Caenorhabditis elegans: one gene and its partner. The protein of the gene in region 2 purifies or fractionates together with the protein of the main gene of each other region. This does not show direct contact. Each region holds a gene or a part of one and is shown on either strand. Other genes may lie near its edges.

Region 1 (3,600 bases), on a different chromosome or scaffold from region 2:
TTTTGTTTTAGATATTACAGTAACAATTATGAACATGTAATTGTCTGAGTTTCCTTATTTTATGCGCGGTAAAAAGTTGATTGATAAGCCGATATATTCCAAACTTCTGAATATGATTAATTACACGATTTTCAGCATTGTGGCACGTTTTAAAATTATTTTGAATTATTTTAGAGATTATCTGCGGCGCCAAATTCTAAAATAAGTAGCATACAATTTTCTTTTTTTTGCTATTTTCTCAAAGATTTCTAAATAGTTTACGACAATTTAGTTAATATTTAAACTTCTTGAAAAGTTGAATTGTACGCAATAGGAAAAATGCAACAGTTCTTTTTTCACAGTCTTTTGAAAATTTTCAAAATAAATTATTTGTCACTTTCACGGAAGATAAATACAGCGGACACTGCCAGCAATTGCTTGTTTCTCACGGTTCTCAAAAAAGGATTACAACTTGCTTGGTGCACCACCAGCAAGTGTATACTTTTACTTGTTTCAGGGGAATCTTAGTTGCTAAATGAGAAATAGTACTTTTCTTGTACTACTATTGAAAATAGTAAAACGCGTAGAGTAGGATATTATGAGCAGCTTGCAAGGTGTGTTTCTTATTCAAAACGAAATATATAATGAAGGCTACTTGCTTCGACAAACATATGCGAGAAATACACCAGGACAAGTGGGGAGTCGCCGGAAAATGTTTGTGAAGAAATGCCCGCCAAAATTAAAAATGGTACAATGGAGTAGGCAAGTGGTGCCAGCCAGTAATCAGGGAGGGCGCCCGTGTGTGTGTGTGTGGCCCCACTGATTTGTGATTGGTGTCAGAGAGTTAGAGAAGAAGAGTCACACACACATTTCGATGGCTATGTATGGCCTTGCAAGTTGAAACGATAGATACACTGTTGGCGAACAGAGCAAACATACTTTTTTCTGTGGCAACATCTGACTGAATATCTTCCCCTTGCACACTTTCACAGTGTGTTATTCAAGAGAGTTTAGTGGTGGTTTTTGTTGCGAATGGTTTAAAAAATTAGATGTATCGCGTTTCTCTTCTAAAAAGTGGTATATCCCTAATGGGAAATACAAGGCGGTGTGGTAAAAAAACCGAAAAATCTATGGTGATACAATGCTTAAATATCATGAGAACATTTCTTTATTTGGAAAATGTTTATTTCGAGCCAAAAAGTGGTGAAAACGGAGTTTACAAATGTTAGGATCCTTTCAAACTAACTAATGCAATTAATTTTTAGGGCAACGCTATCCGGATGGAAGAAAAGATCGGAACGTGAACGATTTCTTGAAGGACTCAGTTGGCTAGCCAAAAATATTGCCCAACTTCGATCCGACTGCGGAATTCCTACTCCAATGGCTGATAAGACACTTTCAGTATTAGCGGACTGGATACGTTCAGTGGTTGAAGGGTGGGTATATAATCAGAAAGAGAAAGAGAGAGAGAGAGAGAGAGAGAGAGAGAGAGAGAGAGAGAGAGAGAGAGAGAGAGAGAGAGAGAGAGAGAGAGAGAGAGAGAGAGAGAGAGAAACATATATCTGACGCTCTAGCCTTTGGAGCGCAAGCCTTATTTATATAGACTCTAAAACCAATAAAAATGCATAATTTATGCACAAGAATGTTGACGAACAAAATTTTCCCTTTTTTACAGGAAATATGTGTGCATTTATGATCGGCCTATCAACAATACAAGTAGTCCTTCAAGCCTTCTCGTCAACTTCCAACCACCACAAGATGCTTTACCTACAGACCTACCGGTACCATGATGATATCCATGTTGACTTACTGCACACATTTCATGTTGCATTGTTTGGGTTTATTTATTTTCAGTGTTTGAAAAAAAAACGAATTTATTTTTTGTATTGTTTTTATTTGTTTTTTATTTGTGTTCCACTAGGTTTAATACCTAGTTTCAAGTATTTGTATTTATATTTTGAAACTCTATCACATCTACTACAACAAGTTCTCAGAACCAATGGACGAAACACACGAGAATGAGGCGTCCGATTCCTTTGATCCAGTGTTCGAAAATTCCTACCATGATGACGTCACATTCAACACAGAAGACGACGATGAGCCACCATTAGAGCCTCGATTCAAATATGAGCGTCTGAAAGGAGAGGAAACACTTCCATTTATGAAAACGGCAACTTTCACGTCAATCGATCTGCACGATAAATTTATTGCAATTGGTACGGCTACTGGTCTCATTTACATTCTCGATCATCATGGGTATGGGAATTTTGATAGCGTACCGGTAAGTTAAGTACGGCCAGTGGGGAAATTATTTGAATCCATTTCTATTATGCTGAAAATGACTAACTAGGGAATGACCAGAATAAATGGAGCGATATTCAAAAAAAAAATATTGTATCGGAAAGCTGACATTCTCTACTATAAGAATATGACTGAAATTTTTGCCCGTTCGGGCTGGAAATCTGAAATTTTTACGTCTGAAATTCTACACTGAAATCAGTGCATTTCCTATGGTTAACAGTGGATTTTTGTCTCTGGCGCCAACAGAAGTCTCACCACAATGGTGGAAGGGCGAAAACATCGGTTCGGTGGTCGAGTGGTGAACGCGTTCGCCTCTTGAGCAGAAGTTTGTGGGTTCGGTTCCCATACATGGTTTAACTTTTGGCCTTTTTTATACAAAATTTTCAGAACGGGAAACAAGTATTTAGAACTTTTTTTTGAGGGTTTTACATAATTTTTTTGCTTTTTAATTGAACCATAATTACCCTGGAAACTTTTCAGAAATTTTAATTTTTTTCGAAAATTGTCACTTTTTTCTCCACCCATGAGAAAATTTGATCGAAAAATTTTTTTTTGAAATTTTTTTAAAAATGCATGAAATATTTTAGAGTGTCACAAATAACCTATTTTTCATTATTTTCAATGACCGAATCATTGATTCTGATGCCTTATCAAGACGTTTTACCAAATCGATATTGGCAAAACATCTTGTTTTTGAGGCTCCATATCTCTGCAGGAAAAAATCGCACTAAAAAGTGATTAACTGAAAACTTGTTAAACACAATGTAATCTAAAACTTTTCAGTTGAACACTTTTTTGTAAAAAATTTCGTTGCCGAGTTGGAACCAATTGATTTGAGCTTCATTATTTTTGAATATTCTAAATAGTTAAAGATCTATATCTTGGCAACGAAATTTTTTACAAAAAAGTGTTCAACTGAAAAGTTTTAGATTACATTGTGTTTAACAAGTTTTCAGTTAATCACTTTTTAGTGCGATTTTTTCCTGCAGAGATATGGAGCCTCAAAAACAAGATGTTTTGCCAATATCGATTTGGTAAAACGTCTTGATAAGGCATCAGAATCAATGATTCGGTCATTGAAAATAATGAAAAATAGGTTATTTGTGACACTCTAAAATATTTCATGCATTTTTAAAAAAATTTCAAAAAAAAATTTTTCGATCAAATTTTCTCATGGGTGGAGAAAAAAGTGACAATTTTCGAAAAAAATTAAATTTCTGAAAAGTTTCCAGGGTAATTATGGTTCAATTAAAAAGCAAAAAAATTATGTAAAACCCTCAAAAAAATGTTCTAAATACTTGTTTCCCGTTCTGAAAATTT
Region 2 (4,818 bases):
ACATCAATAGAAGATACTGAAGCGGCTGAAGTAGTCGAGTGTAGTCGTTGTAGCTTTGCGATGATTCTGGCACTTCGTGAAGGGATCATCTACCAGGAAAAATAAAATTCAATCAAAATAAACAAAAAAAATCGAAAAAGAAATAAAATTAGGTCGTAGAACCTGCCAAATCAATTTTTAAGTCAAAAAATCAGATTTTATTCCTTCTAGTATCAGCCGATTCGATTTAAAATACGAGAATTTACTTTACAATTACACATAAAACACTGAAAAATAAAAAATCTATTCCTTTCCGTTGAGGAATTTGGAGAGGAAGTCCTTTGGCTTGGCTTCGACATTTTCAGCGAACAGGTAGTTGCGCACGTGATCCGGGTTGTAGAATGCGTAACGGATCGATTTCATGTGCTGAAAGTGACAATTAGAGTTTAGAAAATTTAAATTTTATTCAAAAACCTGATGAGTTTCTCCGACAAGTCTGTCAACGACACGAACATCGGTGAGATGTCCGTTCTTTGTGAATTGCTTCTTGATGACAGCACGGAACACGCCGAGCGGCATATCATGAAGTCCGAAATCCCACCAGAACTTTGGAGTGAGACGTTGGAACTCCTTATAAGCGGCGAGAACCGACATGCGTGCCTCGGCGGAATTGTTGGATTTGATTGGAGCGACGGTGCGAACGGCGTGTTGTCCGGCACGGACGACTCTTCCGGCAGTTGCAGACATTATTACGAAAGAGTATCTCCTTTGGTGACACGGGCTTCAAGAAATTCGACCTTTCGTTCCAAAAGGTTAAGCTTGTCGCTGAGAGTCGCTAGTTTTGTGCGGCAAGAGAGCTCTGGAAGAAATCAGATATTTTTTAAAGGAATTAATTTAAAATAATAATTTTTCTACAAACCAAAGCTGGACAAGAAGTTAGCGATGTTCTTGATGTTATCGGCAATAATCTGAAAGTTAGTACGGGTTAGTGTGGGAGATATGAATTCACACATGAATATTTGTTGTAAAATTGTATAAAATCACAACCTACTGAAGTGAAAAGCTATTTCAACACCGCAGTTAAAAATATTCAAAAATTTCAACAACCATTTTTAATCAATTTTCATTCACATTTCAATCGATTTCCATCATTTTTTTCCGTCTACTAACCTGCTCAAACTCGCGATTATCCCAGTCGTCCTTTAGTTGTTGTTGAACGGCTTCCGAAGCGTGCATTCAACGCTGAAAAGCTGAAAAACGGTGAAGGATGGTCGCCGGTGTGCCGCGTGCTGCGTAAATCGACACACTCGATCGCGGCGAAACCCGTCCTCGAAACTGCGTGCGCCTTTGATGTCAGCGGTCGTTCGATTGGCTCCTTGTCGCACTGATTTGGCTTTGGATTTCGTAATTTTCGACGGATTTTCGGGATTTTCTATCGATTTTTTGAGAATTTTCAAGGAAATAGACTGATTATTCATTAGTTTTTTCAAAAATTCCATACATTCATTGAGAATGGGTTAGACAAACGTAAATTCAGATTTTAGAAAATCGAGCAAACTGAGCAAAAAACTGTGTCCGCTTGAGAAATTTGTAAAAATTAAGACTATATTCACTGAAAACTCTTATTGCAATCCGATATTATCCAATGAAACTATCTGCTTTTAGCAATTCTATTGTTTTGAAACGTTTCTCTCAAAATTTTATAGACATCACGTGTTTTGTTGACTATTCTCGATGATTCATTGGTTTTGATTTCGTGAAAGTTACTGCAAAATAAATTTTGCGATAAGGAAAATCAATATTTCTACTTGTTTTTTTTTCAACAGCAAAAGCGAGCTTGCTCCAAAATTAATAGCGGTTTTCCGTTAAACCCTTCTGTTTTTCTTTGTGCTCTCTCACACACACACCCTTTTCAATCGAATTGCACTTTTCAGGAATTTCCTCATTCAACATCAATATTCAAGATGTTGGCTATGGTGAATAAGGTTCTCGACTGGATTCGCAGTCTTTTTTGGAAAGAGGAGATGGAGTTGACACTTGTTGGGCTCCAAAACTCTGGAAAAACGACATTTGTCAATGTTATTGCTGTTAGTTTTTCTGGAAAATAAATTTAAATTCAATGTTCTTCACTTTAGAGCGGCCAATTCACAGAAGATATGATCCCAACAGTCGGATTCAATATGCGGAAGATCACCAAAGGCAACGTGACGATCAAATTATGGGATATCGGGGGCCAGCCACGGTTCCGCTCGATGTGGGAACGATATTGCCGCGGTGTCAACGCCATCGTCTTCATGGTGGACGCTGCCGACGAGGAGAAGCTCGAAGCATCCAGAAATGAGCTTATGCAGCTGTTGGACAAGCCACAGCTCGACGCTATTCCAGTTTTGGTGCTCGGAAACAAGAAGGATTTGCCTGGAGCACTTGATGAGCGGCAATTGATCGAAAGAATGAATCTGTCATCAATCCAGAATCGCGAGATTTGCTGCTATTCTATTTCATGCAAAGAGAAGGAGAATATTGGTAATTTTTTAAATCTTTGAACCATTCTAAACTGAATTGTTTTCCAGATATCACCCTCCAATGGCTCATCGATCACTCGAAAGCTCAACGCTAAACTAGGCACAATCCACGACTCAATCTACTCGAAAATTTACAATTCACACCGCAAAATATATTAAATCAAACCTTTTTTTTTTGAAAATTCTGTAGATATTATTTATTTGAATCCCCTCCCCTCCATATTCAACTAATCTCTCTCGTCTTTTTCATCACAATTGTAGTCAATTTCCCCAACCCATTCGCTCCCAGTTTTATTTCTTTGGTAGCTTTCACTGTGGGATGTTCATCATCCCCATTCAAAAGTTGTGAAATTTCCCTCCAATTTTATGTACATGTTGTGTATCACTTTTTTGGACATTTTGCAACACCACTGCAACCATTCTCATTATTTTTTACAAATGTGCTTAATTCCTTAACTCTTCTTCACTCTTTTTCATAAATTGAAAATTTACTAAGGCATTTAGTTAACGTGTTGCTCTAGCATTGCAGCCTAATTTTTAAAATTCTAAAGTTGAATGAAAAAAAAGGAAATCAATTATTCCTTCAGTTTCAAAATTCGAAGCAAGCGATGGAATGTGTGAATTGTGATTGTACAGTCAAAACGATGGACAATTTGGATAAAGCGATTCGGGAACTGTTGCAACGTGGCAAACACGTCAATCGAATGATGGACAACGAGAAGATGATTAGAGAAGCTAGACGAATGGAAGAGGTTCAGCAGTTAAAGGTTTGAAAACTGAAAAACTCGGGTCTCGCAGCGATTTCTGGGGCGGTACTGTAATTTCTCCGCTTTTTTTCTCATTTTTCATGGATTTTCTTTATTAAACGAGAAAAATCGGACGAAAATCGCGAAAAACGAGATGATTGAAGTACAGTACTCTTTAAAGGCGCATGCCTCCTATTTTTGAGTTTCTCGATTGCGCCGAGACCAGGCTGCGGTATTGTACTTCTTAAAGGCACAAATCGATCGATTTTTGAATGTCTTTCGTTAAAAAGTCGATAAAAATCGAAGAAAGCATCGAAGAAAACGAAAAATTATATAAAATCGAAGAAAACGAAAATTATTTAAATAGCGGAAAATTGGAAAAAAATTGCAAAAAAGTAAGAGAAGTGGGGTACTGTATTTCTTGAAGGCGCATACACTTCTACGCAATCTACAATATAATGTTTTTTGTTCGTTTCGAGACCGAATTTGTGGAAAATAATAATAATAATTATAATAATTTATTACGCTCGCTGGGAGACGTGAAGGAATACAGAATACAAGAGTTATCATTGTTCGCTTGAACTAGAATTGGTGCAATCGGGCAATTGTTTCCATTCCATTAGAATGTTGTCCTTGTCCTTACGTTGTCCTTGCGTAGACTCCCCCATAGTGGGCGAGCGATTCCCGAGTGAAAATAATCACGGAATGAAAATAATCACGGAATCGTGAACAAAAACATTTTTTACGAAAAAAGTAGTTTTATTTAAAATAAAACTTAAAAAAAAAACAAATTTCCAGATGCAAATCCCGAAGCCTGTTGACAAGAAGCCCCGCTCATCGGAAAAGAACCTCAAGCTCATTTCATGTGAGGAAACTTGTATGGATGAGACGCTGAAAAACTCGTCAAAGCCACGTATTATCTTCAACAAACAGCTCGGACACGCCGAATCGATTGATTTCGATGTTCCATCGCTGTCTTATGAGAGTTCGGTAGGTTCTCTTGGTGGCCTAGTTTTCTCTTTTCCACGGCCACCGAAATTACTTTTTTAGGATAAGGGTGTCGTCGAGTCGACTACTTCGACGTCGGTGTCGAATCCGAAAAAGACGACTTCTTCTTCGATGTTCACCAAGTCGGAGGCCACTACAATTTCGGAGTTGACCACTTCTGTAAGCTGCAAATCTAGACAAAATCTACAAATTTACTGTTTCAGACGTTCAAAAAGGCTAAGAATCCATCAGGTGGTGCTCTTGTGTTGGATAATCATTATTTGATTAATAATGACGATGGAACTGTGAGCAAATTGCCAATGAAGGTAGGTCTAGGCGTGCCTGCCTACTGCCTATCTTGTGAAAATGTTCCAGATCTACGTGAAACAACATCTCGAAGATGGCTCTTTGGATGTTCAACTTGTATTTTTCGATGAAAACTCGCAAAAAGTGATGGATATTTCTATGTTGGTGAATGGGAAAAAGATCAAAGACGTTCAATTTTGTGGAAAAGACGCTAAACTTGTGAATTAGAACTTCTTTTTGTATTTTTTCGTAGAATTTTTCTGTGTGTCAAGTAAAAG

What was found. The genes of interacting proteins can lie anywhere in the genome.
Region 1: the proteins of arl-8 (region 2) and vps-41 purify together in Caenorhabditis elegans (affinity purification with western blotting, with the first as the bait; one study listed by BioGRID). This does not show direct contact.

The regions. Positions count from the first base shown.
Region 1 is NC_003284.9:5,281,858-5,285,457, forward strand, and holds the start of vps-41 (Vacuolar protein sorting-associated protein 41 homolog), read left to right. Parts: upstream 1-1,978; coding exon 1,979-2,260; intron 2,261-2,561; exon of another isoform or gene 2,562-2,636; intron 2,637-3,600. Other genes in the region: Y34B4A.2 (UV radiation resistance-associated gene protein-like), read left to right, coding at 1,245-1,415, 1,655-1,769. UniProt on the Caenorhabditis elegans protein: Plays a role in vesicle-mediated protein trafficking to lysosomal compartments including the endocytic membrane transport pathways.
Region 2 is NC_003282.8:14,796,236-14,801,053, forward strand, and holds arl-8 (ADP-ribosylation factor-like protein 8B), read left to right. Parts: upstream 1-1,913; 5' UTR 1,914-1,943; coding exon 1,944-2,066; intron 2,067-2,114; coding exon 2,115-2,502; intron 2,503-2,549; coding exon 2,550-2,596; 3' UTR 2,597-2,992; downstream 2,993-4,818. Other genes in the region: coq-3 (Ubiquinone biosynthesis O-methyltransferase, mitochondrial), read right to left, coding at 1-89; nuo-3 (NADH dehydrogenase [ubiquinone] 1 alpha subcomplex subunit 6), read right to left, coding at 283-405, 454-726; Y57G11C.1147 (Protein BRICK1), read right to left, coding at 729-838, 899-947, 1,150-1,215; Y57G11C.14 (uncharacterized protein), read left to right, coding at 3,110-3,268, 4,046-4,237, 4,298-4,414, 4,459-4,560, 4,610-4,768.